Linked DNA regions of Diceros bicornis minor. The protein of the gene in region 4 purifies or fractionates together with the protein of the main gene of each other region. This does not show direct contact. Links are inferred from orthologs where the notes say so. Each region holds a gene or a part of one and is shown on either strand. Other genes may lie near its edges.

Region 1 (7,247 bases), on a different chromosome or scaffold from region 4:
CGAGACTGCTGTCTCCCAAGGGCTGAGGGCTGACATGTGGATGAGAAAGAGACTTACTTTGTGTGGTTCCACGAAACAATCAAGAGAGGCAAATTTTAGTTCAATACAAGGAAGAATATGTTGAATATCAAGGTTGTTCACATGGACTGGGCCACCTGGAAAGGCAGTGAGCACCTCTTCCCCGAAGGCCGGGCCTGATGACCCGAGAAGGTTTCCACCATCGAGGGAGGTTAAATTAGGTGACTCTCCTTCCTCCTCACCCCCACACTGCACAGAAGACATCCACAGACAGGACTCCTCCCTAACTCCAACACCTCCCCATTCTCTCTCACTCAAGGCATTCTCTCAGAACGCAAACTCTTTAGTAAAGTCAGCACACGCATTACTTCCCTAATTTACAAGAAAATAATATGCAAATTGGAGTGCTTTAACAAAAATCAGAGACATTAACAACTACTAATAAAGCAAGCTCTGACGGTCGTGCAGCCAACTCACTGGGATACCAGAAACACTGCTCTCAGACACAGTCCTCAGATTCTGTACATTCTATGTAGCTTCTCCACGTCATTTTCCTAAATAATATTCTTAATTTCAGGCGGTTAACAGACTCTTGACTCAAAATGACTGAGCTTAAAGAGATTTTCTTAAAACTTCCTGAAATTAGAGTCTTTTACCTCATTTTATGAAAGTGGCAAGCAAGAAGCCTGTGCCAGAAGTCCTTAAACTGCCCCAGCTCGTACCTGTGAGAGCTGATCCTAATTCCTCCACCAAAACAGGGATTGAGAGGCGTTGGGGGGGTGAAAGCAGCCTTACCTTTATTTGCAAATTCTGTGCTTCCCCATTATCTCTATGCTGCCTGAAACCCATGGCTAAGCGACATTGCAGTGTTCAAATGAATGCCTAACACGGTTTGGGTCCCTTCTAATTCCACACTGGATACAAGATTACAGATCCCAGAAGCTCATTACCCAACTATTCAAACTCTAAAATGATAGCACTGTCATAAAAAGTACTCTCAGAACCTTCTCTGAAGAGACCCACTCCCTGTCTGGCAATACTCTGAGTTGGAAGCTACCTGCCCACAATCCACCGTGCCCTCGGGGAAACCGCCTAGCCATCCGCATCCCTATTCGATTCCCGACCTGCAGGATATTAATCTGAAACAGATAACGGTATTTCTGTGAGAGTCATCCCCTCCAGCCTGAACAACACATTCCATACCATCTGCTCTAAAGACCAGGCTTTACCTTTCTGAACATGGATGATGTCTGGGAAGTTGGCCAGGTGCCCCTGATACAGCGCTAACAGGTCCATGACAGGGTCCAGGTCCTGCCTGGGCTGATCGGCGAAGAGCTCGCCGATGGCGTCGTAGGCATCTCCGGTGAAGGCGATGGCCTGGTTCAGGCCGGCCGAGAAGGCCTGCTGGTCCAGCTCAAACGCCTGGCTCAGGCCGCGGAAGGACTGGCCCACCTTCTGATACTCCTTCTTGAAGCCGGTCACCTGCTTGCGCGCGAACTCGTTGGCGGTGTGGTTGAGCTGCAGCGCGCTGTCGTCCATCTTCTTGGTGAAGCACTTGAAGCCGTCGATCTTGCTCTCCACCTCCTGCAGGTCGAGGGCGGCGGCGGGGGGCGTGCTCAGGGTCAGGAAGAAGTTGGCGCCCACCATCTCGTCCTTCTCGGCTTTCCTCTTGCCCTGTTTCCAGGCCTTCTCGTCGGTGCTGCTGGGGCACGTCAGGAAGTGCTGGAAGACGTCGCACTGCGCCAGCACCGGGTGGCTGGCCATGTGGTTCATCCACCAGATCAGGCCCTTCCTGCGCTTGGAGATGAAGTCCTCCTCGAAGCGGCCGGTGGCCTGCTTCTCAGGCAGGTGGGGCACGGAGATGACGGGGAACTTCTCGGCCAGGCGCGCGTACAGCCAGTCGAAGTGCTTGTAGCGCCGGTGCACCGGCACCTGCGTGTGCGTGGGCACCAGCTTGTAGGAGATGTAGCTCTTCATGCCCTTGAACTTGGTCTGCTTGGTGGGGTCGTCGATGGTGCACTGGAAGGGGTAGGGGTTCTCCTGCCACTCAGGGCCGTAGGGCCCCAGCACCACGCACAGCTTGTCCCCGTCCTTCACGAAGCCCGACGCCTCGCCGAGCACAAATGCCTCCCCGCCCGACTTGACGAAGGTGGAGAAGCGGTTGAGGTTGCGGCTCACGGTGGCCGAGCTCTTGGCCCCCGACGGGTGGTGCTGCGGGGCCGCCGAGCCTCCACGGGAGCCCAGCGACAGGTCGGAGCGCGTGGACAGGCGGTAGCGGCCGGCCACGCCGCCCCCCGACGACGAGCCATCGAGGTCCGGGTACGCGCCGCTCCCCAGCGCGCCCGGCTCGTCGGCCACCGTCGAGCTGTCGTCCCACTCGTCGTCCCAGTCATCGTCGCTGCCCTGGCTGGCCTGGTAGCCGCCGCCGTAGAGCTGCTGCGGCGACGGCTGCAGGGCGCCCCCGCCGTACGAGAAGCCCGCGCCCGGCGGCTGGAAGGTGCTCGGCGGCGGCGCCTGCTGCGGCTGCAGCAGCGGCTGGAAGGCGTCGGACGGCGGCTTGAAGGAGGCGGGCGGCACGGCGGGCAAGGGCTCGAAGCCGCCGGGCGGCACGTTGGCGTACCGGGCCGGGGCGCCCGGGCCGCCGTCGCCCGCCGGGCTGGGCTCGGGGGCGCGGATCACTTGCACGTACGAGGCCGGGAAGAGACCGCGGTCGCCGCGGCTGTTGACCCCCTCGAGCCAGCCCTCGATGTCCTGCTCGCTGCACAAGCTCAGCACCTCGTGCTCCCGCAGCGAGATCTCGCCCGGGTTCTCCGACCTGAAGTCGTACAGCGCCCGGGCGCGCAGCGCCATGGTCCCGGCGCCCCGGCTGGCAGCCCCCGACTCCCGGTGCCCCGAGCCCAGGGCCCGGCCGAGGGGCTCGCGCTGGTGCCCGCGCCCTAGCGCGCGGAGAGGAGCCCCGAAGGCAGCGCGCACTCCCGCGCCCCCGCCCGCCGATCGCGCCCTCCGCGCCGCTCCGCTCCCAGCACCGACTGCCGCGCCGGGCCGCCGCTGCTGCCGCCGCCGCCGCCGGCCGGGGGCGGGGCCCGCCGCCTCCCACGTCCCCAGCTGCGCTAATCCACGGCCGAGAGCCGCGCGCCAGGCGAGAGCAAGCGATGGCCGAGCCGCCGCGCCCTCCTCCCGGTCCGACTCCGCAGTCCCCACTGCCCCCTCGTGGCCAGTGCCCCGCAGTGAGGCTCCGGAGTGAGAGCTCCGGGCGAAGGTTTACTACTCAGAAGTGAGTTTTCTGCGGATTTTTTAGGCTTTTAAGTTAAAAAACGTATCCTAGAAAGTGAATTAATATTTGCATTCCTGATAAACGCTCCCACTCTGGGCGCTGAGTGAATGCTCCTAGAATGACTTAACCCACGCATCTAACAAAGGATTTTCAATGAATATTACCGATTGCACTAAGACAGACAGAATGCCTGTGCTCAGGCCCATACGCTGATGGAGCAGCTCCTCATCTTCTACCCATTGGAGGCTTTTGGCAAGAAGGGGAGGGGAGTGATAAGAGCAGAGTAAGGAAGGTGCTGTATTTGACAAATTAGGAGGCTAAGGATGGTGTGGGAAGGGAGACTCTGGAGAGTTTACAATAAAATATGTGCGCACACAGAGCTAGCATGTTGCATGTGTCCCTTCTCCTTCCTAAGACGTGTGTACTGCAGTGAATGAGAGCCTAGACTTCCAAGCCAGGCTGCAGGGTTCGAATCTACCTTCTGACAGTATCTAGCTGGATAACCTCGAGCAAGTCCCTTATTGTACCTACCTCCTAGGGTTATTGTGAGGATTCGATAATAATGTAATCCCTATTAACAGATGAGGAAAATGAAACAGAGATTAATATAGGGCAAACACTATATGTGGTAAGCACAGATGAAGTGTTTGCTGTTATTGTTATTTTGGAAAGCAAAAATCCCTTCCTTCTTCATAAAGAGAATAGGGATCCTAAAATGACAATCCTAGGTTGTATGCACCAGGAAGGGTCCCAACGCTCACATCCTACTGCTAGTCTCTGTCTACCCCTCTCCATACACATGGAGTGCCCACCCCCCTCCAGGCATCTCTGTCTCACTATGTTTATATTATTTTTAAGGTAAGTAGGTAAAAAAATCACTTCCTGAAATATTAATCAACTCCAATTTCCTTCCAACAGTTGCCTGGTTGCACATCTTCTTTTCTTTCAGCGTATAATTTGCCCAAAGCTTTTTCTTTGCATAATCCCCTCTTACTAAGTGTAGCCTAATTATTCCTTTGAAGAAACCTCTAACTGGGATTTAGCATTCATATGTCATTAATTTCAGCCTGTCCTCTGACCCTTTTTAAGCAAATCTGGGAAACGAGCCAGAAGAGTATACAGTTATTGTAAGGGCTGTGGTATTTTAAGCATCCTGCACAAAACCTCCAGGCCAGTATACCAGAATTAGTCCCACAGTGTTTATCCCTAACGCAAAACCTTAATTCAATTCGGTAAGCACATCCGAATTACAACATTTGTAGCTGAAAATTCTGGGTTAAGACAATTCTCACAGTAAGCAACAGAGGTCATTGAATTTCACTGTCAACAATTTATGTGGTCAGAAACATGAAATCAACCTCTACAAAACATCTAGAATACACTTTATTTTACTTATTAACCCATGAGAAGCTAACCTAGAATATTTAAGATAAATACATTTAGTTTCATCCATACTATTCATCTGGTACTTTTTAGGTTAAAGAGTTCAAGTAACATGAAACTTGCAGTGCTTCAGGCTTTGAAACAGGGAGACTAAAAATCCAGTTCAGGTGTGAAAATTCCAGGCGTTGGAGGTGACGACATTTACAGAGGGGTTGGGCTGCTCCATAGACGCAGTGCTTGAGGAACTATCGGGTTTCGGAAGTTGTTTGCAGCACCAGTGCACAAGCGAGCATTCCACCTGTGGGAGTCGAGTGGCAGGCCAGGCATCAAGCTTTGTGAAGGACGGAGGCAGGCTCATGGTGCCCGGCTCTCTGACATCTGACTGGCAGGAAAAACCCTACCCCTTAAGGATCTTCTATATTTAGAAAATGTGCTCAAGTATTAGAAACTTATAACTGTTCACTCAGGGAAGTAGATACAGTAATACATTTTTTAAAGATTTCCCTAGAAAATGGAGCACATTATTCATAATTTAGTTTACACAGTCATCATTATAACCATCAACTATTTCTGTCATTATGCTTTTGTAAAAACAAGTCATTAGGGGACATTAAATGGCCCCAAACAATTGTGTTTTCACACTTCTTCCCTTGGTCTGCAAGGCCTTAGGTGGCCTGCCTCTCTTTCCATCACTCACTTCCACTAGAGAGAAACCACAAGGGTTTCTTTGCTATTTCTGGAACAAGCCAAGCACGTTTGTGCCTTGGATTTTTTTTTTAATAGACTATTTTTTTAGGGCAGTTTTAGATTCACAGCAAATTTGGGCAGAAGGTACAGAGATTTTCCATATACTTGCTCACCACACACATGCATAGCCTCCTCCACTATCAACATCCCCCACCAGAGTGATACATTTGTTACAACTGATGAACCTACATTGACACATCATTATCATCCAAAGTCCATAGTTTGTATTAGGATTCACTCTTGGTATTATACCTTCTATGGGTTTGTACAATTGTATAATGACATGTGTCTACCATTATCGTCTCATACAGAATAATTTCACTACCCTAAAACTCCTCTGTACTCCGACTATTCATCCCTCCCTCCCTCCCCTAACCCCTGGCAAAAACTGATCTTTTTACTGTCTCCATAGTTTTGCCTTTTCCAGAATGTCATATAGTTGGAAGTATGGAGTATGTCGCCTTTTCAAATTGGCTTCTTTCACTTAGTAATATGCATTCAAGTTTCTTCCATGTATTTTCATAGCTTGATAGCTCATTTCTTTTTAGGGCTGAATAATATTCCATTGCCTGGATGTACCATAGTTTGTTTATCCAACCAAAAAGGAAATCTTGGTTGCTTCCAGGTTTGGGCAGTTATGAATAAAGCTGCTATAAACACCCTTGTGCAGGTTTTTGTGTGGATATAAGTTATCACCTCCTTTGGGTAAATACCAAGGAGTGTGATTACTAAATTGTATAGTAAGAGTATGTTTAGTTTCACAAGACGCTGCCAACGGTCTTCCAAAGTGGCTGTACCACTTTGCATTCTCGCCAGCAATGAACGAGAGTCTCTGTTGCTCCACATCCTCACTCATTTGGTGTTGTCAAAGTTCCAGATATTGGCCATTCTAATGAGTGCATAGTGGTATCTCATTATTGTTTTAATTCGCATTTTCCTGGTGACATATGATGTGGAGCATCTTTTTTTGTTGTTGAAGTATAGTTGACATACAATATTGTGTTAGTTTCAAGTGTATAACATAGACTCTTATTTATTTACATTTATCGACATTTATTTACCTTACAAAATGATCACCCTGATAAGACTAGTAACCATGTGTCATCATACAATGTTATTACAATATTGTTGACTACATTCCCTGTACCATACATTACATCCACAAGACATTTATTTTATGGCTAGAAGTAAGTATCTCTTATCCCCTTCACCTATTTCATCCATCTACTTCCCTCCCTCCCCTCTGGCAACCACCAATTTTTTCTCTGTATCTATGAGTTTGTTTTGTTTTGTTTGTTCATTTTGTTTTTTTTAGATTCCACACATAAGTGAAATCATACAGTATTATTCTTCCTCTGTCTGGCTTATTTCACTTAGCATAATACCCCCTAGATCCATTCATATTGTCACAAATGGGAGGATTTCGTTCTCTTTTATGGCTGAATAATATTCCATTATGTATAAATCACATCTTCTCTATCCATTGGCTATTGTAAATAATGCAGCAATGGACATAGAGGTGCTTATATCTTTTCAAATTTGTTTTTGTTTTCTTCGGATAAATACCAAGAGATGGTGTTCCTGGATTGTGTGGTAATTCTATTTTTAATTTTTTGAGGAATCTCCATACTGTTTTCTATAGTGGAGCATGTTTTAATGTGCTTATTTGCCATCTGTATATCTTCTTCAGTGAGGTGTCTGTTAAGGTCTTGGGCCCATCTTTAAATAGAGTTATTATTGTTGAGTTTTAAGAATTGTTTTGTATGTTTTGGATAATAGTCCTTTATCAGATGTGTCTTTTGCAAATATTGCTCCCAGTCTGTAG
Region 2 (7,514 bases), on a different chromosome or scaffold from region 4:
CTAACTCATATTTAACAGCTCCCTCTCAAAGTTTGTTTTGTCATGCTATCAGCAAAGTCAGTCAAACATTACGATTCCTTTCTAACTATTCCAGCAGCCAGATGGCAGGAACACTACTGTGACAAGGCAAAACTCGCCTAAAGATAACTTCGTGATGCTTCATCATGCTTGATGGCACTCTGCTGAGCGGGTTCACCGGGAGACACCTCTTTTGTTGCCCCACTTAACCCACATTCTTTAAACCAAATCTTTATCATTCCAAGAATAAGACAAACATTCAACTCTGCAAATGTGAAACTGGCAGGTAAAACGAACATGTTTCTACTTCTCTAAGTTCTGAATTTGAGGCAGAAGTATAAAATCACCAGAAGATCACACAGTAGGACAAATTTCTCAAGATTTCTCTCTAAAGATAACGTGACTGTACCCTAAAGTTTCAAATATTTCTGCACCAAATTTAACGTATATTTATAACACATTTGCTAGAAAACAAATTTGTTTCCTTCTGCCAAGTTATTTTTGTAGGTTTTATTTATTTATTTATTTATTTTTTACTTAGGTGTTAATGAACATATATTTATAAATTCTAGAATGCAGGAAAGTTGACTGTTCCTCCCTGGTGGAAATTTTACATATTCTCCTCTAGAGTTAATTACATTTGGGTTTCTCAGATCTTTTCTAGGTTATATGATTTATTCTTTGTGTGTGTGTTTTAAGTGACTGCAAAATCACAACCTGTACTATATGGTTTCTGAACAATAAACCTCCTACAAAGAGTGTTGCCAGGCTGGGCCAGCTGGCTTTCTCCTGTTCCTAAAACTGTGTGTTCTTAGACACACACACTTCCTCCATCCCTTCTGCTGCTGGCTAACTTCAGTCTGTGACATAATCTCACACTCACAATTATATGAAAACAACAGAGACTCCTGGAAAGGAACAAAAAGGTGGCACGGCAGGAAGCCAGCCCTCCATTCTCTGTCACCCTGATGGCTCTACCTTCACTCAGGCAGCCAAAAACCACCTGTTTATAATTGCGTGTATAGAATTTGAAGTCTGTGTACCCAGGTTTTTAACTCTGGCTCCCCTGAGTAAGGCATTTAACCTCTGTGACCTTTTATTTTCTCATCTGTAAAAAAGGCCCAATAACAATATCTCCCTTAAAGAACCACTGTGAATCATATGAGGTGATGCACATAAAAGCATTTGGTAAAGCCCTTTGCAGTATATATTTGTTTCATTTTCAGTTATTTCTCAATTTTCTTTTGCTCCCATATCCTTTTTTTCCCCCTCATTTGGTTTTTGAATGTATCTCTAAAATGCACCGGCTGGAAAACTGGACTAATCTGCGTGTTACCCCAGTGAAGTGGATTTTTAGCATTCAAGTTTTATTTACTTTTTTATTGAGGTACAACTTACATAGATCAAGCGCACAAATCTCAAGGGAATAACTTCATAAATTTCTAAATGTGTACACCTCTGTAACCACTACTTAGGTCAAGGTGGGGAGCATTTCCAGCACCCCCGAAGCCTCCCTCAGGCCCTGTTCAGGTCATTATGAGGCCCAAAGGCAACTCCTCTTCTAACCTCTGTTGCCATGATTAGCTCTGCCTAAAGTTAAAAAAAATTTTCAGGGAAAACTGGAGTCCTAGTGATTACTACTACTGACAAGAAATGTACTTCCAATCCTCCCTCGGAAGAGATAAAAGATTCTGGAAAGGAGGAGAGGGGTAAGAACTTTGTAAATCACACGGGTCATGCCGAACAAGGCCCTCATTTTGCAGCCAATGACCCAAGTCTCAGAGAGGCGAAGTGACAGCCCACTTCTGCTTCAGAGTAATTTTCCTTCCAAATGCAGCCTGTCCCAAAACATCCCCAGTGTCAGGGATGCTGCTGGTGCGTCTGGCGCGCGGGGAACAGCTCTCCCCGGCCTCTCCCCGCAGAACTTCTTTCCAGAGAGCGGCGCACACTGGGTCCCCAGGCCGCCCCCGCTCCCGCCGCCGCACATCCAGCGGCTGGCACTCTCCGCTCAGAAGGCACTGTTCCTGCGAGCCAGTGCCTGCCCGCCCACGGGGCGAGATCTCGGGCGCTCGCTCCCCCGACCCTGCTCTCCCTCCGCCCCCTGCCCGCCCCCGACAACGCCGCCGCCGGGGTGTATTGGGGGAGGGGGAGGACAGACACTGCCATCTTCTCCTCCACTCCTCCAAAGGACTTCAGAGCCCGTTTGTGGCCAGATTTAAGTCGCTGGAGCACAGTCAGACCACTGACCTCAGGGGCTTGGAGATGAGCACTGGGAGGGAGTCCGGAGAGCTGCGCTCTGGCCCCTGCTCGGTCACCACGAGCTGTGTGACCTTGGGCAAGTCACTTCACATCTCCGGGATTGGCTTCGTCTTTGGAGGCTGCTTCTGTATCCCCAAAGCCACCTCCAGCTCAACAATTTCCTAGCCCTTCTTTACTCCGCCCCAGCCCTTCCCGCGACAGCCCCCTCCTCAGGGAGACCCCAGCCTTTTGTTCTGGGGGTGAAGCGGCGAAGGGAGGAAGGGATTGCTTCGCCAAGGACAGGCCCGGGCGGCCCTGGCGCCCGGGGCCGCTCACTGGAGAGTCGGGTCCAGGCAACCCCGCAGTGACCTCGGTCCCTCCGCGGTCCCGTTAAGGCCGGGCCTGGGAGGCGCGGCGCGGCGGGGAGCGGGTGGCGGGCGCTAGGGCAGCGCAGCGCCTCGACGCCTGTCCCAGGCGGGGGTCCGGGACTAGGGCACGCGCGCAGCACCCCCGTCCCCGCCGGGGGCCACTCCGCCCCGGGACAGCCCGAGCGGCCGCCGCGACAGCCCGTCCCCCACCCTCGGGCACGGACCCGGACCCGCGCACGGAGCCGCTACCTGCCGCTGGCCGTGTTGGGGGGCGGACAGGACTGGGGCTCCGGCCGACGTCCCCGCCGCCGCCTCCCGGCTCCGGGCTCCGTCCCGCAGCACCCGTGCTCCCAGCGGCGCCGTGCCGCCCTCTGTTCTGTGCTGCGCTCGGTGCGCCCGGCTCGCTCCCCGGCCGCCAGCTCTGGTGCTGCCGGGACGCGGAGGCGGGGCTGCCGCCCCCACCTGCTCCGTCGGCTCCTGCCCCGGAGCCGCCGCAGCCCGGCGCGCAGGGACGCGGCCCGGGCGGGCGGGGTCGCTCTGGCACCCGGGAGGCGGGTCCTCGCCGCGGGGCGCGCCTCTCCGGGCCAGAGTCCCAAGTCTGAGCTGCCGGGAGAGTGGGGCCTAAGGCTGCAGTTCCCCAGATAGGAGGGGCTGTGGTGTGGATGACACAGGGCCCAGCACTGCCACTCTGGGGACACTCCACTCCTTCATCAGTTTATTCCAAAATATTTTGAATCCTTCCTATGCTCCGGGCGGCGTTATAAACGGTGGGAACAGAAGAGAAAACAAGATCGTCTCTTGCCCTCGCAGAGTTCACGGTCTAGAAAGGGAAACCAACTAATGGGCAATTACAATCCAGAACCAAGAGGGAGTGGTCATAGAGGGGGCACCTGATCCAGACTTGGGGGAGGTCAGGGAAGGCTTCTCGAGGCGCTGATGTCTAGGAGAACTGAAGGATGAGCGTGAATTATCCAGACGGCTTGGGGAAGTAGATTGTTTCAGGTGCAGGCGAAGCTGAGAGGAAGCAGACTGTGTTTGAAAACTGAAATAAACTGAAATAAGTTTGAGGAGCTGGAAGAACCTGGCTTAGCCAACAAATCCCCGTCACACTTCCCGTTGAGGCCCCTTGGAGGATGCAGAAAGTTTATGTCTGAGGCCGGATTTATTCCTCTAAGCGCAGTAATCGTTTGGTGAGGATTCCGTATCTCCCATGACCTGGGTGTTCCTGCTAGTGGAGGAGCTAAGAGGATACTCATGGACCATTCACTCAGCCCTGCCGAGTTTGAGCATCTGCTATGAGCCAGGCACTCTGCAGGGCCCTTAGCGTATGCTGGTGAGGGAGGCAGTGTCTCTAACGCTAAAGGAGCTACTGGTCTGGAGTGGAGGAGGGACCTGTGCTCAGGGCTATGCCAACGCTTGTATGAATTGCACGGGAACACGGGCGAGGGAGCAGTTAATGCCAGCAGGGAGGCTCTCACACACGGATTGCAACCTGTCTCCAGGTTCAAATTTTGTAGCAGCTGCTATCAAAATATGTTCTTCAAGCAGCCCTTAGCTGGTTTCTTAATTACTCATGTTTATAGCCTGACAATGTGTAGGCTTGTATTTATAGCAAGGATAAAGAATTCACTCCTGATGCCTTCCACTCCTGTGTCTCTGTTTTGTTTAGGCAAAGAAAGGTATACATGTAGCCAGTGGAAGCCAACAAGGTACTTGCTTCCCACCTGTTTGTCCTGTGTTCCTCCTGCCCTTTCCTCCTTTGGAACTGTAATAAATGATCATGGGCATGAAATCTGAAAAACTGTGCTCAAACCAAAACTCACAAAACATTTTGCATTTGATCGCTACTAAAAAATAAAAAATCTGAAACATTACCCAGACATTCTCCTTCTCTGGACTCCTAATGCTTGTTTTCATTAAACATATGACTGCTAGTATTCTAATACAAAAAGGAAGAAAAGATAAATTAGTAGAGAAGACATTTCCATGAGCCCAGAGAGATCCCATCAGGTCTTCTGCTGAGTGGCCAGAGCAGGAGCTAGTTGATGGAAATGCTGTTATTTATCTTAAGGGATAGATATGTGCTGGCTTGGATCAAATAATTTGTGAAAAAATGCTTCTGGTTGAAAGGGATGGGGAAAATGATGAGTGAGGCAACTATTTGGAAACTGGGGACATTGGGGGCTGGAAGCCTCGGGGGCCCAATGTCTCACATTCATATGAAGTAACTCTGCCATTGGTGTCTTGTTTCTAGAGACATTAGAAAGGATTCATTCCCACCTATATATATAACTGTAGGACAGCACAGTTGGACAATATTTGTTTGGTGGCAGATAGTGTGAGTTGCCTTCCCCAATAGCCAAACCATTCTCCTTTTCTTCCCTATTAATAGAACCGAGGATCAGAATTGATGTAAGACTACCATGACAATCCCATTCCTGATTTCCCAGGCTTTCTTGCAGCTAAGGAAGTCATTGACCCAGTTCTGGCTAATGAGTTGAAAGAGGGAGTTGGCTCGAGAGCTTCTGAGAAATCTTTTCCTGGCTCTGCCCTTCTATTTCCCACTTTCTTTATGCCTTGAACACGAATGAGATGCCCAGTGAGGCTGCAACCAGATTGCAACCAAGAGACAATGAACATGAGGCCAAAAAGCCAATAGAATCAGAATGACAGAGTGGGAGATAGAGTCAAAGTGGTACTCCTGGACATTCCACCAAAGCCAGCAACAGCCTACCTCTGAACTTTTCGTTATGTAGGAAAAATAGCCCTTGTTTGTTTAAGCCACTGAGACTGGGTTTTCTATTCCTTGCAGCCAAATATACTCCTAACTGATACAGTGACCTGGTAAAGGGCTAACATCTCTTCTCCTCCCACTGCCCACAAAATGCCTGCAATAGCTCACCTTTCACACCTACTTGTAAACAAGTATTTATATCTGCTGTGGCTTATTGAGCTCTTCAGGAGAAAGGCACTATAGAACTCTTAAATGTTTTATACGTGTATCCACATCAATTCCTCAAATATTTATAGAGCAGCTATTAGTTGGTGATAATGTACTGGTTCTGGGGGTGCAAAAATGAATTCACAGCCCTGCCTCCAGAGAGCTAACAACTTAGTAGAGGACACAAACTTGTAAACAGAGTATCACAGTTCCATGTAAGAAAGGAGTTTGTCTTGGTTAGAGAGGTAATACAGGAAAAGAAATGATGAGCTCTGTCTGGTGTGGGGAAGGAGGGAGGCAGTAATACCTGAGCTGGGCTTCCATGGATGAACTGGAGTTTCCTCTGTGAGAAACTGGGGAAGGGAGGCCATTTCAGGGAAAAGAAAGTCTGAAAGAGCTTGGTGGTCCAGAAGCCTCAAACTCCACACGTCTGAAACCACACTGATGGTCTTTCTCCCAAACCTGACCCATTCTTGGAGTTGCCCATCTCCCCATTCATCCGGTCGGACCACCCAGCAACCTCCTCAGCTCCCTTTCCCTCATCACTCCTCCCAACAGTGGATTTTGCCTCTTGATCTATCTGGTTTACTCATCTGCACCAATGCCACTTGACACCAGAGCCGGTCACCTCTCTCAGCACTTCCACAGTAGCCTCTTAGCTGGTCGCTCTGCAACATGCTGCTTCTCTCTTCCAAACCATTCTCCACAATGTGGTCAGAGAGATTGTCTTGAAACCTAAAGCTGATCTTAAAACTGCCATTATCTGTAGTTTAGTGATTTCCCTTGGCTCTGATGAGCTTTGTCTGAAGGCCCTCACAGTCTCCAGCACAACTTGCTCAGTCTCCCCCTCAATATCTGTACTCCAGCCATGTTGGCTTCCTTTCAAATCCTTGAACAGGTAATATTCTTTCTTGTCATAGGCCGTTTTCACGTGATCTTCCATCTTTGTAGAGAACATCTCAATAATGAATTCTTTTCATTTTTCAGATCTTAACTAAACTCAGTCATCACTTACCTGGATCTTGACTAGGTCAACTTCTCCTATTACAAACTCTCATAATCCCATGTAACTTTCTATTGCAGCATTTATTACAGTTGTAGTGATGCCATTTATCCGTTTGATGATTTGATTAACATCCATCCCCCAGACCGTGGTATTCTTGACCTCAGGAACCATCTCTGTCACCATTATACCCTTATCTTACAGCACAGCAACTGGCACATAGTAGGTATTTAATACATATTTGTTGAGTTATGGAAGAAATGAACAAATCAGGGTTGGAGTTCTGAGCTGTATATTTGAAAGTCTATATATTTTTTTAACTTTTAATATCAACTTCATTGAGAAGTAATTTATATATGATAAAATGTACTTATTATAATTGCACAGCTTATTGAATGCCAACAAGTGTATACTCTGATGTAATCACCACCTTTATCAACACATAGACTGTTTCAATCACCCAGAAAAGTTCCTTGTGCCCCTTTGCAGCCAGTCCCTACCCCCAGGAAGCCACAAATCTGTTACTGTTGATTAGTTTTGTCTTTTCTACAGCTCTGTATACTAGAACATACATGATATACTCTTTTCTGTCTGGCTTTTTCCCTTGGCATAACGTATTTGAGTTTCATCCGTGTGTTATGTGTAGTTGGTTCCTTTTTGTGGCTGGTTAGTATTTCATTGTATGGATATGCCAATATTTGTTTATCCATTCACCCATTGGTGGATGTTTGGGTTGTTTCCAGTTTTTAGATGTTAAAAAAAAGCTGCTTTGAATATTTATGTATAAGTCTTTTTGTAGATAAATGTTTTTATTTCTTTTGGGTAAATACTTAGGAGTATAGTTTTAAGAATCATTAGCATTTAAAGAGAAAACCTTGGAACCACAATGAAATACCACTTCACACCCACTAGGATGACCATAATTAAAAAAAAGGAAAACAACAAG
Region 3 (7,258 bases), on a different chromosome or scaffold from region 4:
AAACAACAGCCAACCCCTCCTCTCCTTTTGAAATAAAGATGTCAAGCTGGTAAGGGCTGTCTTAAGTACTTTACTGAAGGATTAGCTAGAAGAGGAAGTGAAGAAAACACAGTCCGCCTGGTTTCTAGCAATACCCTACCAGGCTACATAACAATGCTGCATTTTTTGAGTGTGCTTTTCTCCTTTTAAAAAGCTAACAGATCCTTGTTTTGTTTTTTCTGGAGCAAGAGGCAAAAGCCAGGCTGTGATTAACATGCATCCTTCATCCTGCAAGAGGGAAGTTGTCTCATCTCCAACCCCTTAGGTTAAAAGCTTAAAAATAAAAAACAGGGGCCGGCCGAGTGGCGCAAGCGGTTAAGTGCGCGCGCTCCGCTGCGGCGGCCCGGGGTTCGCTGGTTCGGATCCCGGGCGCGCACCGACGCACTGCTTGGTAAGCCATGCTGTGGCGGCGTCCCATATAAAGTGGAGGAAGATAGGCACCGATGTTAGCCCAGGGCCGTCTTCCTCAGCAAAAAAAAAAAAGAGGAGGATTGGCGGATGTTAGCTCAGGGCTGATCTCCTCACAAAAAAAAATAAATAAATAAAATTAAAAAAAATAAATAAAAAACAGAAGTCAGGGCCCTGACCCTCTCTTTCGTCTACTCTTATGTGCCCTTCAGACCGGCAGCCCCACAGAATACACCTCTCGGGCTGCCATTCCCCAAACAGAGCCTGCCAATCCGGGCACCTAGATCTGCCCACAGGCACTGCCAGGACTTGCTGGATGTGAATGGTAGAGCTTTCTGGTGTCACTCCGGCGGCTCTCAAATTACAACGAGCAATCTCTTGACGCTTTTAATTACCACTCAGTTAACCACTAAATGAGTCCTCACTTTCCAACACCAAATGCTTGCCTCAGTTTACCAAAGCTGCAACGTGCTCCTTCCTCGAGGCAGCTTCCCTCCTAGCCCCAGACAGAAATGGCCCCTCGGAATTCCTCGAGTCCTTTGTCTGTGGCATGCTTGGGACACTCATCACAGGCTGTCTTTGTATTTCAGTCATTCGGCCACTATTTCCCCTTGAGGACTGTAAACTCCCCTCCAGGAGAAGGCCTGGGGGATCTCCGAAAGATAGGCTGGCTCCCTTCTCCCAATCCCCATGACTCACAGTACCTTTCTGGGGTCTCTGTCATCTTTGCCTCACATTAGAGTCATCTACAGATTTGTCTCAGCTCTGCCCTAGGTGCCAGAGGGCAGGGGCCAGGTCTTACTCAACCTTACACCCCCACCCCCACCACCTGGTAGAGTCCCTGCCACACAGAAGCCAGTTAAATATTTGCTCGATTACACATCTGCGTACCCTCCCCCCACCCCCAGCAGCCTTGTATATAAATTGACTAATATTAATCGAGCGATTGTCTCAACAGGCCTTAAAGCAGCCTCCCTCCTTACCAAAAAGGGAATAAACCACTCAGGGAGGTTATCAGGCCAGGCTCAGACAGTGGAGTCAGAAATGGCCACAGTGTTGCAGGAAGGAGCTAAAGCTCTCTTCCCCTTCAACAGCTACTCAACGGTTACTTTGAAATCTTGTTAAACTCAGCAAAGGGTGCAGTGAACCACGAAGCCGCTGAGCCTCTCGATTGCCCAGAGGAGAGAGCCGCCTGTCTCCAGGACCTGGGACTTCCCAGGAACCTTCTCCCCACACCGGCTGGGTGCGGCCGCGACAGCAGCCCCGGCAGTCACCCAGCCCCCACCTCAACACAGCAGGCAACCTCGTCCTGGAGGGTACTCCGTTTCTGTTTGAAACAACGCGGCTCTGAAGGGATGGGAGGGGTGTGCGGTCCTGCCCTGGGCGTGGCCCCAGGACAGCATGGGGTGAGGACCCCTACACAGGAAGTAGGGGAGGGGGGCATAGAAAACCCGGGATCTAGCCCAGACAGGAACGACGCATAGCCCCGGCCTGGCCCTAAAGGAGCAGAGCCCAGCTGCCCCCGCCCCCGCCCGGTGGGCGGCCCGCAGGTGCGGCGGGATCAGGTGCGCGTCCGGACCACGCAGACGTCTGCGGGCATTCCCGGGCCTCGCTCTCCCGGGGAACAGAAGTCCAAAGACAAAGGTTGAGGGGCTGGGGGGGGTCTTTCCTGCCTCGCGGCCCGGTACCCGCCGGGTCCCCCTGCCCCATGCACCCACCGCACCTCTCCGCGTCCCCTCCTCCGCCCCACTGCTCGCAGCCGGGCGAATGAGGAAGTCGGGAGCGCAGGGCGGAAACTGAGCCGAGCGCAATGTCTGCTGCAGGATTGTCCGCTTCTGAGTCAGGAGGACGCCCTGACAACTGCCAAACGGTCCCCGCCTGCCCGTTACCTCCGTTTCGAAAATGCCTGGAAACTTCCAAAGGAGCCGCTGCCCCGAGCCCCCCACCTTACCCTCACCCGTGCGGCCGGGTCCAAGGGACAGAGGCTCCCCGGAAGGGGTTAAAAAGTTTGCCCAACTTGGGCACTGGGCGAGGCGAGGGCGGGGCGCGCGCCCGGCAGCAGGGGGAGGTCGAGGCTCCGGGTGCCCCGCCGCGGAGTGCGCCGGGCGAGGGGAGATGGAGGGTTTCCGGGGGCGCCCGGCCCCGAAGCCTCCCTCTGCTCCCCGAGGGCCTGCTTCCAGCGGCGCCTTCCCCGAGCGTCCGCGCGGGGGTCCCGGTGCCCCCAAGGGAAGGATGCAGTGCCGGGCCGACCCCGCGGCGTTCGCTCCCGCCCACGCCGGTCGCCCGCCGCGCCGAGGCCGAGAACCACACGCTGGCCTTCGCGCCCCAGACGCCGCGCGTCCCGTCGCCGCCGCCCCGCCCGCCCGCCCGCCCCGGGCGGGACCGGCCAGTGGGGCTCGCTCACCTGAACCTGGATCTGCCCCGGGGAACAGGCGCTGCTTCTCCCGAGAGGGCTTTCTCGAGCGCTCGGGCGACGGCGGGGTGGGGCGAGCGCGCGAGGCGGGAGCTGCAGCAGGTCAGCCTGGCTCAGCCTTTCGTGCCCTGCCCAGGAACCGCGGTGATCTGCGCGCCTCACCGCACCCAGCTCCCCTCCTCGCCGCCTTCCCGCCCCGCCCTCGAAGCCGCCCGCCCATTCCCAGCCCGGCGCCGGCTCCGGGGAGGAGCCTGGAGGAAAGACCCCGCCCCTCTGGCTGTTTCACCCACTCCGGCCCGCTCCTGGTCTTGATGGACAGACATCTTGACCTGTGGGATGGGGTAGGCGGAGCCTCTGGGCCAGAGGGGTGGGGACTTGCCCTCCCCATCCGCCCCACCTCCACCCTCTCCACCTTCCCCCCCGCTTCCTAGGCGGGAGGCCCGCCCCCTAGGGCGGGCCCAACGAACAGCCAGGTTTCAGGAGGGGGATTGACATAGAGGGAGTCCAATCAGGATGAGGAGGCTCGCAGAGGCCTCCGGCCCGGGATTTTGGGGCGTTGCCTGCACCGGTGCGAGGCCGGGCCGGAGGAGACGGGGGAGGTCCCGGGTTGACGCCCCGCCCCGCAAGCTGTTTTCCCTGTCCCAAGACATCCTACCAGAAGAACAGATATTAAGTACCATATATGGGAAAAGTGCTATTTTACATAATTATGATGGCCTGCGGGGGCGGATATGAACTCAGCCCGGATCCGTTGCGGGCGCCCTGAGTTCGGTTTCTGACCATCTCTTTAGAGTGGGCACGCTGCTGTCTTATAGGATCCAGACCTTTGCTCGGAGGGGTTCCCTCTGCCTGGAGCGCCCTTCCAAACCTCTCTTCACCTCCACGTGGTTAACTTGCACCCTTCCTTTCAGATTTTGTTACAAAATGTTTAATTGGGTTTGTTTGGGGTTTTTTGGTTACTGCCCGCTACGAAAAGATAGAAATTTTTAAAAAATTTTTCACACTTATCTTTTAATCCATCTGGAATTTATGTTGATTTTGGAGTGAGGAAGAAATCTAATGTAATTTTTGTAATAGCCAGGTGTACACACACCATTTTCTCTGCTGACTTCAGGTACCACCTTCCTCACCTTTTGAGCTCTTATATATGCTTGGATCTGTTTCTGAGCTGTATCCATTGATCTCTGTGTGTTCCTGTGCCAGTTCCACAATACTTTCATGATGATAGCTTTATAATACATTTTATATCCAAGAGGGCAAATTTCTCATTACTCTTTCCTTTTGGAATGTTCTTCCTATCATGACTAAACTATTCTTCCAAAGGAACTTCAGAAAAAGTTTATGATCAAAAGAACACTGGAAAAAAGATTTTGCAACTCTGTGACAAAGAATTACTATCAACAGTATATAAAGGGCTCTTTTCGGTCCATGAGAAAAACCCCAAATACTCCAAAATAAAAATGACGAAAAAAGGAACAGGCAATTAAAAACGAAGAAATATAAATCCCCAATAATTATGAAAAGATTGATCTGAAATGCAAACAAAACAACATGGGATACCGTTCTTCACCTATCAAATTAAAAAAAGAATAAAAATGCCCACACAGATGGGAAAGTAAATTGATCAATTCTCCCTAAGAATTCATCATAAAAAAATAACTGGAGGGGCCGGCCCTGTGCGCGGTTAAGTGCGCGCTCCACTGCTGGCTGCCCAGGTTCAGATCCCGGTGCGCACGGATGCATCGCTTGTCAGGCCATGCTGTGGCAGCGTCCCATATAAAGTAGAGGAAGATGGGCACAGATATTAGCCCAGGGCCGGTCTTCCTCAGCAAAAAAACAGGAGGATTGGCATGGATGTTAGCTCAGGGCTGATCTTCCTCACACAAAAAAAATAATAATAATTGGAAAAGTGTACAGATATGGGTTAAAAAGTTCTTTGCAACATTGTTTATAGTCATTTAATATTAGAAATAAATGTACAATATAAGAGATTGATTGAATAAATTTTGATAGATCCATGTGTTGAAAAATACCCAGAAAGTGATTAAAATTTTTATGTAGATTTGTATTTACTGATTTAAAATATACTGAGGAAGAGCAAATTATAGAATGCTAATACTGCAGGATTTCATTTATTTTTATGCAATGTTTGTACGTGTGTGGGTGCCTGACGTGTGTGTGTATGTGTGTGTACGTGTGTGTTTCAGAGAGAGAGAGGCAATGAGGTTTAAAAGACATTATATCAAAGTGTAAATAGAGGTTATGTCTTGGTAGAAGGATTGTGACTGATTTTTTCTTTTGCTTATCTGTTTCTAACACATATATCACTTGCATAATTTTTCCAAAATGGAAGAAAAAGACTCACTTCGATGTCACCGCTTCCAAAAATCTTCCATGACACTCCAGGCCAGTTAGGTGTCCCTCCTCTGTGTTCCCACATCATCTTGCGTTTATCTCTCGCATAGCACTTACACACTGGATTATAATTGTCCATTTACTTGCTGTTTCCTCTGCCGAGGCTAGAAGCTGCCTAAGGGCAGACAGAGGCTGTGTCTTCTTTGCCTCTGTGGACTGAGAACTAACACAAGGCTTGGCATAAAATGATCCTGAGTGAATGCTTGAGCAGGACTCAGACAGCATCTGTTTCCTTATCTGTAAAATGGGTATAATCGCTGGGCCTTGCCCAACCCGCATGACTGTTGGGAAGAACACAGGAGACGTGGACCTGAAAGTGTTTTGTAAACTACAAAGCAGTGTGCACTTACAACAGAGCGTTATTGATAATGATCATTTCCATTTTCCTCACACCCCCAGATTCCTAGCACCACCCTCTCTAGGAAACTGAGGTCACTAAGAAGATGGAAGGCCTCTGTCAGCTGGCGCTGAATTCTCTCCTCCCCATCCACCAGCCTAGATGCTTCCCTAACTAAGGAAGTGTTCCCACTTGCTGTCCAGCCTAACGCCTCCTCTATCTTCCAAGACCTGCACCCTTGATAGTGTCTACTCTTGTAATAGTTTAGAAAAAATTTCATCCGTTTTTTCTGGGTCTTAACATGGTGTCATGGTTGGTATGGAAAATGCTAAAAAGAAAGAAAATAAAAATCACCCATAACCTAACCACCTCAATATATCAACTATTAACAAACCTTGTTATTTTCTTCAAATCTTTATACATACACACACAGTTAAAATGAAATTGAGAGAGCTACATATATATGGTCACCTGATTTATTACAAAGGTGCCACTACAAATAAGTGGGAAAAGATGGTCGTTTTAATAAATGGTGCTGGGTCAATTGCATATCCACATGTGGAAACGTGAATCTTGACTCCTACACTCACACCATTGCCAGAAATAGTTTAGGATGGATCAGAGACCTAAATGTGAAAAGTAAACAATCAAACTTCCAGAAGAAAGCATAGGAGAGTATCTTCATGACCTTGAAGTAGGCAAAATTTCTTAAACAAGACACAAAAAGTATAAACCACAGGAAAAGATTGCTAAATTGAACTTCATTAAAATTAAGAATTTCTGTTCATCAAAAGATACATTTAAGAGAGTGAAAAATCAAACCACAGACTGGGAAAAAATATTTACAATATATTTACTATATATATATATATATATATAAACAAAGGAGGTATAACCAGAATTTATCAAGAATATCTATGTTAAGAAAAAAACTGAAAGGGCCGGCCCCGTGGCTTGGCACGCTCTGCTACTGGTGGCCCAGGTTCGGACCACTGGCACGCACCGACGCACCGCTTGTCCGGCCGTGCTGAGGCGGCGTCCCACATACAGCAACTAGAAGGATGTACGACTACGACATACAACTATCTACTGGGGCTTCCGGGAGAAAAAAAAAGGAGGAGGATTGGCAATAGATGTTAGCTCAGGGCCAGTCTTCCTCAGCAAAAAGAGGAGGATTTGCATGGATGTTAGCTCAGGGCTGATCTTCCTCACAAAAAAAAAAAGAAAAGAAAAAAACTGACAACCCAATTTTTTTTTAATGGGCAAAGATTTGAATGGGCACTACATAAAAGAGGATATCTAATTAGCCAGTAAGCAAATGACAAGGTACTAAACATCATTAGTTATCACAGAATGCAAATTAAAACCACAATGAGATAGCACTATCCCCAACAGAATGACTGAAATTAAGATACCAAGTGTTGGCAGGGATTGGGAGCTACTGCAATTCTCATAAATTGCTTGTGGGAGTATAAGTTTCTACAACCACTTTGGGAAAGTGTTTGCCTGTATCTACTACAGTTGAATATACATGTATACCCTATGATCCAGCAATTCCATTCTTAAGTATATCCGCAACAGAAATGAGTGCTTAAACCCAACAAAGACATGTACAAAAATGATCATAGCAGCTTAACATAGCCAAA
Region 4 (7,550 bases):
GGCATTCCAGCCCAAAGGAGCATTAAGTACAAAAACTCAGAGGTGAGAGAATTGTAGTTATTTAGGAAACTGCAAGTCATTCAGAAGAGTGGAGACAAGAGTTCAAAGGAACGTGGCTGAGCATTGAGGCTGGACTTGTTGGCAGCGGCTGGCCATGGAGGGCCATGTGGAGCATGCTAAGGACTTTGGACCTTATCTGTGACCCCTTGATTCAATTTGTATTTAAGAAAGCCCACTCCTGTCCGCCCCGTGGCTTAGCGATTACGTGTGGGCGCTCCGCTACTGGTGGCCCGGGTTGGGATCCCGGGCGCGCGCACCGACACACCGCTTCTCCGGCCATGCTGAGGCCGGGTCCCACATACAGCAACTAGAAGGATGTGCAACTATGACATACAACTATCTACCGGGGCTTTGGGGAGAAAAAGGGAAAAAAAGGAAGAGGATTGGCAATAGATGTTAGCTCACAGCCGGCCTTCCTCAGCAAAAAGAGGAGGATTGGCATGGATGTTAGCTCAGGGCTGATCTTCCTCGCAAAAAAAAAAAGAAAAAAAAGAAAGCCCACTCCAGCCGCAATGTAGATATTGACTTGGAAGAGGGCAGGATGATAAGTAAGCAGGCCAGAGCATCCCTCCAGGAAGGATGGTGTCATGGACCACGTCAAATGATGGAAATAGAGTCAGGAGGTGGAGGAAGCGAAGTCACAAGACTTGGGGTCCCCTTAGTAGGCTCAGCGTCAGAGGCCACCCTCGAGGCCTGAGAGGTGTATGCAGCTTTGACTTACAACTTGAGCAAAGGAAATTCTAAGATGAAAACTTAGAGCTGGTGGGAGAATTTCAATGACCAAGTTTAAGTTGTCACTGGCTGTCTGATATTTTCCCACTAAAGAGAAGCTCAGAAATGTGGGCTCAGAGGATGCACCTGAGATGGTCTGGAGGCTGCTCCTACCGGAGGGGGTTAACTGTCAGGCCAGTTTCCTAGGGACTTTCAAGGTTCAGTAAATGCCAGGCAATGTCCAGTTCTTAACGGCAGGTGGCAGCATCACAACTCACAGAAGGCAAAGCAAGAAACTCTTTCCGACGACTAAAAATAACTGCAAACCCCAACCGAAAAGATGGATTTTTTTTTTTTGTCATTAATTTTTGCATTCTGAAGTGACTGATGTGGCCAGGTTGTAATCAGCAAGTTTTGCTACAGTTACAGCAGGTTTTCACACCTGAGTGTGACTTTTACTTCACAATTTGCCTCATTCCAATTTCTTTTCACTATTTAACACTAATCACACATACATTCAAAACACTACTGCCTCTAGTGTGTTTTTTTCCTCTGCGTGGAATGATCTTGGGCAGCGTTCTTTTAAGTTTCTGAGTCTGTGTCTGTAGAAAAGAATTTTTTATTGAAAAGACAATGTAACAAATGTTGAATTTTTTTTGTCACCCACAATTGCTTCATTTCAACACAATTATTTTTACTCTTAAATGTTCCCTTCCAAATCTAGTCCATATGCATATATTTTTACACAGACATACTCAGAGTCTGTTTTATCAATGCTGCATTTTAAAAGGAAGTGCATTTTTTTTTCCTTTTCTCTAGGCATCTAGTCTCTTCTGAGATCTCACCCACTTCCTTAGCTTTAAATATCACATTGCACAGAAAAGCAGCCACATCTTCCTCTCTAGTGAACCTCTTATTTATTCATCCATCCATCCATTTATTCACTCCATGCACTGTGCTGGGAGCTGGGAATACAAATGTAAAAAGGCGTGGTCCTGTTTGTCTGGGAGCTTGTAGAGCATTGGGGTGGGGGTGGGGGGACACAAAAACACACACAAATGATAATGCTGCAATGAGATTGGAGGTACAGTGGAAATTTTGAGGAAGAAACCCTAAAACTGACTTGGGGGCCTAAAGAAAGGGAAGAAGGCCAACTGAGCAGAGGAAACTGCATGTGCAAAGATACGGGCACTCAAAAGATCATGGCACCTTCTGGAAACCACAGTGGTTTGGTATTGGTGGAGTGTGTTGGCTGGAGACTGAGAGGGTGGGGTTGGCAGGCAAGGGCCAGATCCATAAGGATCTTGCAAAGGACTTGAGATCTTATTTTGTAGATGATAAATATCTTAGTTCCAACTGATTTTCCACTCTGCAGCCAGAGTGATACCTATTTTGAAGATGAAAATCTGACTGTGTGTCATTCTCCCCCTACCCCCGCCCCCACCTCCCCAGCCCTGCTTCAGTATCCCATAGAATCAAGACCCTAGTTTATGGCTTCCTTGAGTTCTCTCTTACTTTATGGCCTGTGCACATGCTGTACTCTCTCCGGAGAACTCTTTTCCTCTCAGGCTAACCAGGGTCTCAGCTTAAACCTCTCTCCTCAGCCTTCCCTGAACCAGACTGGGTCAGGTCCCCTGCTATATGCTCCCAAAGCTGCCATCACTGCGAGTGTCATACTCTCGAAGGTATGTCGTGTCCTTTAGGCTGCAAGCTCTGTGATGCGTTATCCTGCCATCTACAGAGTAGACGCCCAGTTAATGTTGTGAAGAGGACTAATGAAGGCATTGGGATTTTCAACAGCACACTGGATATTTCCACCTGCATGTCTCCTGAAACAATGAACTCTACATTTCCAAAACTGGGGCATCATCCTTACCTGCCTCTTCCCTGTACCTCATCACCTCCCTCTCCCCCGCCCAGTCAGCTGCTCCTCTTGACTGGCAAATTTCTCTGTTGTTCTCCCCACTTGAAGCAGGGAGCTGCAATTCTTCCTTCATTTCCTCCTCCTCTCTGCTCAGCAGCTAAGTCTTCCCTTTCATTTCTTTCTTTTTTTTTTAATCTGGCTACCATTCTAGAATAAAGTATCATAGTGGGGGAAAAAATGGGTTTTAGAACAAGACAGGCCTAGCTTTAAATCTCAAGTCTACTATATTTGGGTTTCCTTGGGTAAGTTACTAACCACTCTAAGCCTCAGTTTCTGAGTCTGTAAAATGGGGACATTATCCACCCTGTAGAAACACTATGACTTTAGTACACATCAGGTGGTAAACAGATTGGTCCTCTTGTTATTTTCACCTCATATCAGACATCTACTGCTCAGAAATCTTCAGAGGTTTCATATCACTTGAAAATGAAACTTAAGCCATACATCTTGGCCTTGTCTCTCATTACTCCTCCCCCTAAATCCTAAATTCTCTCCAATCTGAAATATTGGCTGATTCCGTCACTCTTTCCTCTCTGCTTTCACGTTGCAGTTCAAACACCAAGTTCTCCCTGATTACCTGAGCACCAAGTAACTGGCTCCCTCCTCTGCAGTCCTATATATAGTTCAATGGCACTAGGGCCAACTGTTTTGCCTTGCAGACTAGGCAACTCTGCTCTAGATTACAAACTGCTGAAAGCTGAGGCTTTGTCGTGTTCATCTGTTATCCTGCATAGCGCCTCGAGTGCAGTTGATGCTCAATAAATCTTTGGTGAAAGAACAATTAATTTTCCTTTTTCAATGGGCTTGTTTTCTCTATAGAATCAGGTGTTTGGTTATCCTCATCTCCCTGACTATTTTGTTGGCTTCCAGAGAGCACATTACCATTAGATGCATTTTGTTCTCTCCTTCAATTGGAAAGAGATTTTGGAACCGAAAAATAAAAGTTACTTCTCCAAGCCTCATCTTCTGCCACTCCCCCGTACTCACCCCGCCTAGTACAGGAATCGAACTACTTAGCATTGTACAGAACACGATTCTCTCTCACGCCTCCCTTCCTTTGTACCTGCGTGCCGTTCCCTTCGCCTGGAATGCCCTTACCCCGCCTTCTCTGTCTGGCGAACTCCTACTCATCCTCCAAGACTCGGCTCAGACATTACCACATCACCTTCTCTGGGAAGGCTTTTCTGAGATGGGCAGAGTGGCGACCCCTCTCCCCGCCTTTTAGCTTCCTTAGCATTCCTTTTAGCTTCTTGAGCATTCCCCAAGTAATTCTAACAGTACTTATGGCGTTGTTTACATTTCTGCCAATTTTCTAGACGGTGAATTCCTTGAGGGCCAGGATTTCTGTTCGTCGTTGTACCTGCTATACCTTGCTCAGTGCTTAGCATGCATTCGACACTTGATTAAATCAACGAGGGAACGAATCTGTTAACTCATCTAACACTGCAGAGTTTGGACAGGATTCTCAAATATTTCAAGACCTAGTCTTCTATTTGGAGTGCTTCGTGCTGGAGACTCCCCTCTCTCCTCCCCTAAATTGCCTTGGTTTGGCGGAAGGGAAAGGGAAGTGAGTGATTAGTACGTGCATAACAGTTACTTCTGGGCTGAGCTGTAATTTATTTGCTCCGGCACCGACCGGGTTGCAGCGACCCAGGGGGCGGAGCCATGCCGGTGCCACCTGCTGCGGGGCGGTCTGGCGCATGCGCCGTGGCACCTAGATAGTCTCTACCTGCGGGGGCCCGGCCGAGGAGGAGCGCTTGCGCTCTAGGCCTTTTCCGCCGGGGGAAGTCTCGTGGGGGCGGGGCGGGGCGGGGCCGCGCGGGGAAGTTCTCGCGAGACCCTGACGAGGAGCGGAAGCGGGGAGACTGTCCTGTTTCGGCTACCGGGAGGCGGCGGCGGCGGTAGCAGCAGTGGCTGTGACGACGGCTGTGGCGGTGACGGCGGCGGGAACAGGCGCTGCCCTCGGGGAGCAGTAGTGGGGTCGGCAGCCGCTCGCACCGCTGCGGAAGGGCCAGCCGGTGCGGAGCAGAGCAGCTGCGCCACGGTGAGTGCGGACGGCGGCGTCGGCGCTGCTCCGGTGCCTTTTCCTCCCCGCTCCGCGGCGGGAGTCGGCCCGGGGGGACTGGGCCCAGCCTGCCGAGGCCGCCGTGCCTGGGGTTCGGGGTGGCGAGGCCGGGGCGGGGAGCGGAATCCCCGGGGCTCCGGGCTCCACGTTTCCCCTTTTGGGGCGCTTCCTTCCTGGGGACTGTCCTCTCCCGGCCTTTGGCTGGAGGCAGAGCCCCGGACTCCGGGGCAAGAGGCCGGGGGCTCCTAGTTAAATTCCGCGGCTTTTTCATGAGGATTTGCGCAGAACGGGCCCGGGAGAAGCCCGAGAGCACGGGGTACTCATTCTGTGAGTCAGTCTGACTCGGCCCGGGAGGCGGGGGATTCGCGGCGGGCTGCAAGTGTGTTGCTTGATGCTCCTTCGACCTCCACGGCCACCACGTCACCATCTCCTGGTGTCTGGGCCGAATTTTGGGAAGACACCCACCAACCCTGTTAATACAGTGAGTTAGAACGTTTGCTACTGGAGCCATTCGCGATGCCTTTACTTCTGTCGCTCCTTTTGAACTACTCGCTGAAAAATATTTGTCAAGAAAAATAAGCAGCACTTGGTTGAAATGCTCCGAGGAAAGAGTTTAGTGAGAGAGGAGAGAGAAGCACGGGTTTTTTTTCGTTTGCAGCGCTCTCCATATATATGATTGTAAGCCATATGAGTTACAGCTAGTTATTCCAGGTTGTCTTCAGATGCTATAAAAGGACAGTTTGCAGAGGAGCTGAAGTGCACTCGAGGTCTGTTTTTTGGTAGCTGACTCAGAAAACAGTCGAAAAGACACAGTGAGAGAAATTGGCATTAGTCTGTTTAGCATGTCTGTTTTGTCCGTCTTTTCACTTAGTACTTCTCCAGTTGTTGCCTTTTCTTTCTATCTAGTTCTCTCCGTTCTACTGCGGACACTAAATGCTTATTGGTATAATGCAAGTCATTTGCCCCCTCCCCCAGCTTTTTTCTAATCTACTTCCCCTTCCTCCTTATTGTCCCCTTTCTGGCATAATTTTTCAAGGTTTCTGCTCTTTGGCGCAGTTCGTTTTCTCCCTCAATTAGATTCCGTTTTCTGTCCCGGGAAGATACCCTCTTTCCTGCTTTATCCTTTATTTTTAAGCGTCCACTGTGTTCCTTCAGTCAGCCAGAAGGGTTGCTAGAGAGCCATGCGAGACTTAAGTTCTCCCCCTGGGAACTGGGAGGCTCAAAGGATTGAATTCATCCGTAAGTAATCAATACTGCCACTAGGTCACAAGTGCAGCTTGCTTGTGTTATTTGTGTTTTAGTTTTTCTTCACTTTAAGATCATGCTTTTGTGCCTGCTTATGCTTTTCTTTCTATATCACTTTTATGTTAGTAAGGAAGATTGGGTCAGTTGGGGGCTTGTGTGACTTCTTTTTGGCTTTTAGTGGGGGTGGTTAACGTTAAAAAATGAAAACCAATCACAGACCTATATTACAATAGAGTTAAGATAACATGAAACATTTAAGGGAATAGAATTTATTTAGACCATTAATAAATTAAAGCTTGCCTATGGTAATAGTACTAATTATTTTTTACTAGGCTTTATTTATTTATATTTTATTTATTTATTTTTTAAAGATAAGGGTTATTCTTTTTTTTTTTTTGGTGAGAAACATCAGCCCTGAGGTAACATCTGTGCCAATCCTCCTCTTTTAGCAGAGGAAGACTGGCTCTGAGCTAACATCTATTGCCAATCCCCCCCCCCCACACACACAAAGCCCCAGTAGATGGTCGTATGTCGTAGTTGCACATCCTTCTAGTTGCTGTATGTGGGGCGCGGCCTCAGCATGGCCGGAGAAGCCGTGCGTCGGTGTGCGCCCGGGATCCAAACCCGGGCCGCCAGTAGGGGAGCGCGCGCACTTAACCGCCAAGCCACGGGGCCGGCCCTACTAGGCTTTTTTTAAATCAGACATCTTTTCCTACATCTGTTATAATCAGCCTTCTTTGTTATGGTTGTCAGATTTTTTTGACATAAAGAATTAACAAATAATAAAATATTTGTTTTGTTGCCCCTTTTCTTGTTCAGAATTTTCCGAATCCTAAAACAAAAAAAAGGAGTTAATTCTTGTAATCGGCTTTCTTTGATACTAAAAGCAAGCATTTAAATACTTGAGGCAGTTTACTTGCTCAGCTTGTCTATTCAGGTTTGAGGGATTACTAGGTTTTAAATACTACTAGTTGATGGTACTTAGAGATTTTTCTCAGTAATTCCTGTTATCATGTTGCATGTTGTGCAGCAACAGTTCTAATTGTTAGCTAGAGCAGAAGAGTAAAGGACTTTGAAGAAATGAAGTAATACAGAATAGAGACCCACTATGCTCTCCTGAGAGAAATTAATAGTTACTTGCATAATTCAGAAGAACTTTCCAGGGCCCAGCCTGGTGGCGTAGCGGTTAAGTTCGCACGTTCCGCTTTGCCGGCCCAGGGTTGGCGGGTTCAGATCCTGGGCACAGACCTGCTCATCACTCATCAAGCCGTGCTGAGGCGGGGCCCCTATAGAAGAGCTACACATCTACAACTGTGATACAGAACTACGTACTGGGGCTTTGGGGAGGGAAAAAAAAGAAAAAAATGGAGGATTGGCAACAAATGTTAGCGCAGGGCCAATCTTCCTCAAAAAAAAGAAGAAGAAGAAGAACTTTCTGGGACTACTGAATGGCCGTTGAGAGTCGTGGTTTTATGTGTCAAAGTTCGTTTTTTCCCAGTTGTGCCAAGTGAATATGCATTATTTTCATTTTATGCAAAGACATTG

Evidence for each region.
Region 1: the proteins of GRB2 (region 4) and SNX18 purify together in Homo sapiens (co-immunoprecipitation; 4 studies listed by BioGRID and IntAct, counting the BioPlex papers as one, with this or other methods). This does not show direct contact. The link is inferred for Diceros bicornis minor from reciprocal best matches to the Homo sapiens genes GRB2 and SNX18.
Region 2: the proteins of GRB2 (region 4) and WIPF3 purify together in Homo sapiens (affinity purification with mass spectrometry; 3 studies listed by BioGRID and IntAct, counting the BioPlex papers as one, with this or other methods). This does not show direct contact. The link is inferred for Diceros bicornis minor from reciprocal best matches to the Homo sapiens genes GRB2 and WIPF3.
Region 3: the proteins of GRB2 (region 4) and MYH9 purify together in Homo sapiens (affinity purification with mass spectrometry; 3 studies listed by BioGRID and IntAct, with this or other methods). This does not show direct contact. The link is inferred for Diceros bicornis minor from reciprocal best matches to the Homo sapiens genes GRB2 and MYH9.

The regions. Positions count from the first base shown.
Region 1 is NC_080759.1:21,230,757-21,238,003, forward strand, and holds the start of SNX18 (sorting nexin-18), read right to left. Parts: upstream 3,004-7,247; 5' UTR 2,869-3,003; coding exon 1,248-2,868; intron 1-1,247.
Region 2 is NC_080742.1:54,225,618-54,233,131, reverse strand, and holds the start of WIPF3 (WAS/WASL-interacting protein family member 3), read right to left. Parts: upstream 3,020-7,514; 5' UTR 2,874-3,019; intron 1-2,873. UniProt on the Homo sapiens protein: May be a regulator of cytoskeletal organization. May have a role in spermatogenesis.
Region 3 is NC_080764.1:13,206,083-13,213,340, reverse strand, and holds the start of MYH9 (myosin-9), read right to left. Parts: upstream 3,005-7,258; 5' UTR 2,852-3,004; intron 1-2,851. UniProt on the Homo sapiens protein: Cellular myosin that appears to play a role in cytokinesis, cell shape, and specialized functions such as secretion and capping. Required for cortical actin clearance prior to oocyte exocytosis. Promotes cell motility in conjunction with S100A4.
Region 4 is NC_080757.1:55,882,655-55,890,204, reverse strand, and holds the start of GRB2 (growth factor receptor-bound protein 2), read left to right. Parts: upstream 1-4,550; 5' UTR 4,551-4,739; intron 4,740-7,550. UniProt on the Homo sapiens protein: Non-enzymatic adapter protein that plays a pivotal role in precisely regulated signaling cascades from cell surface receptors to cellular responses, including signaling transduction and gene expression.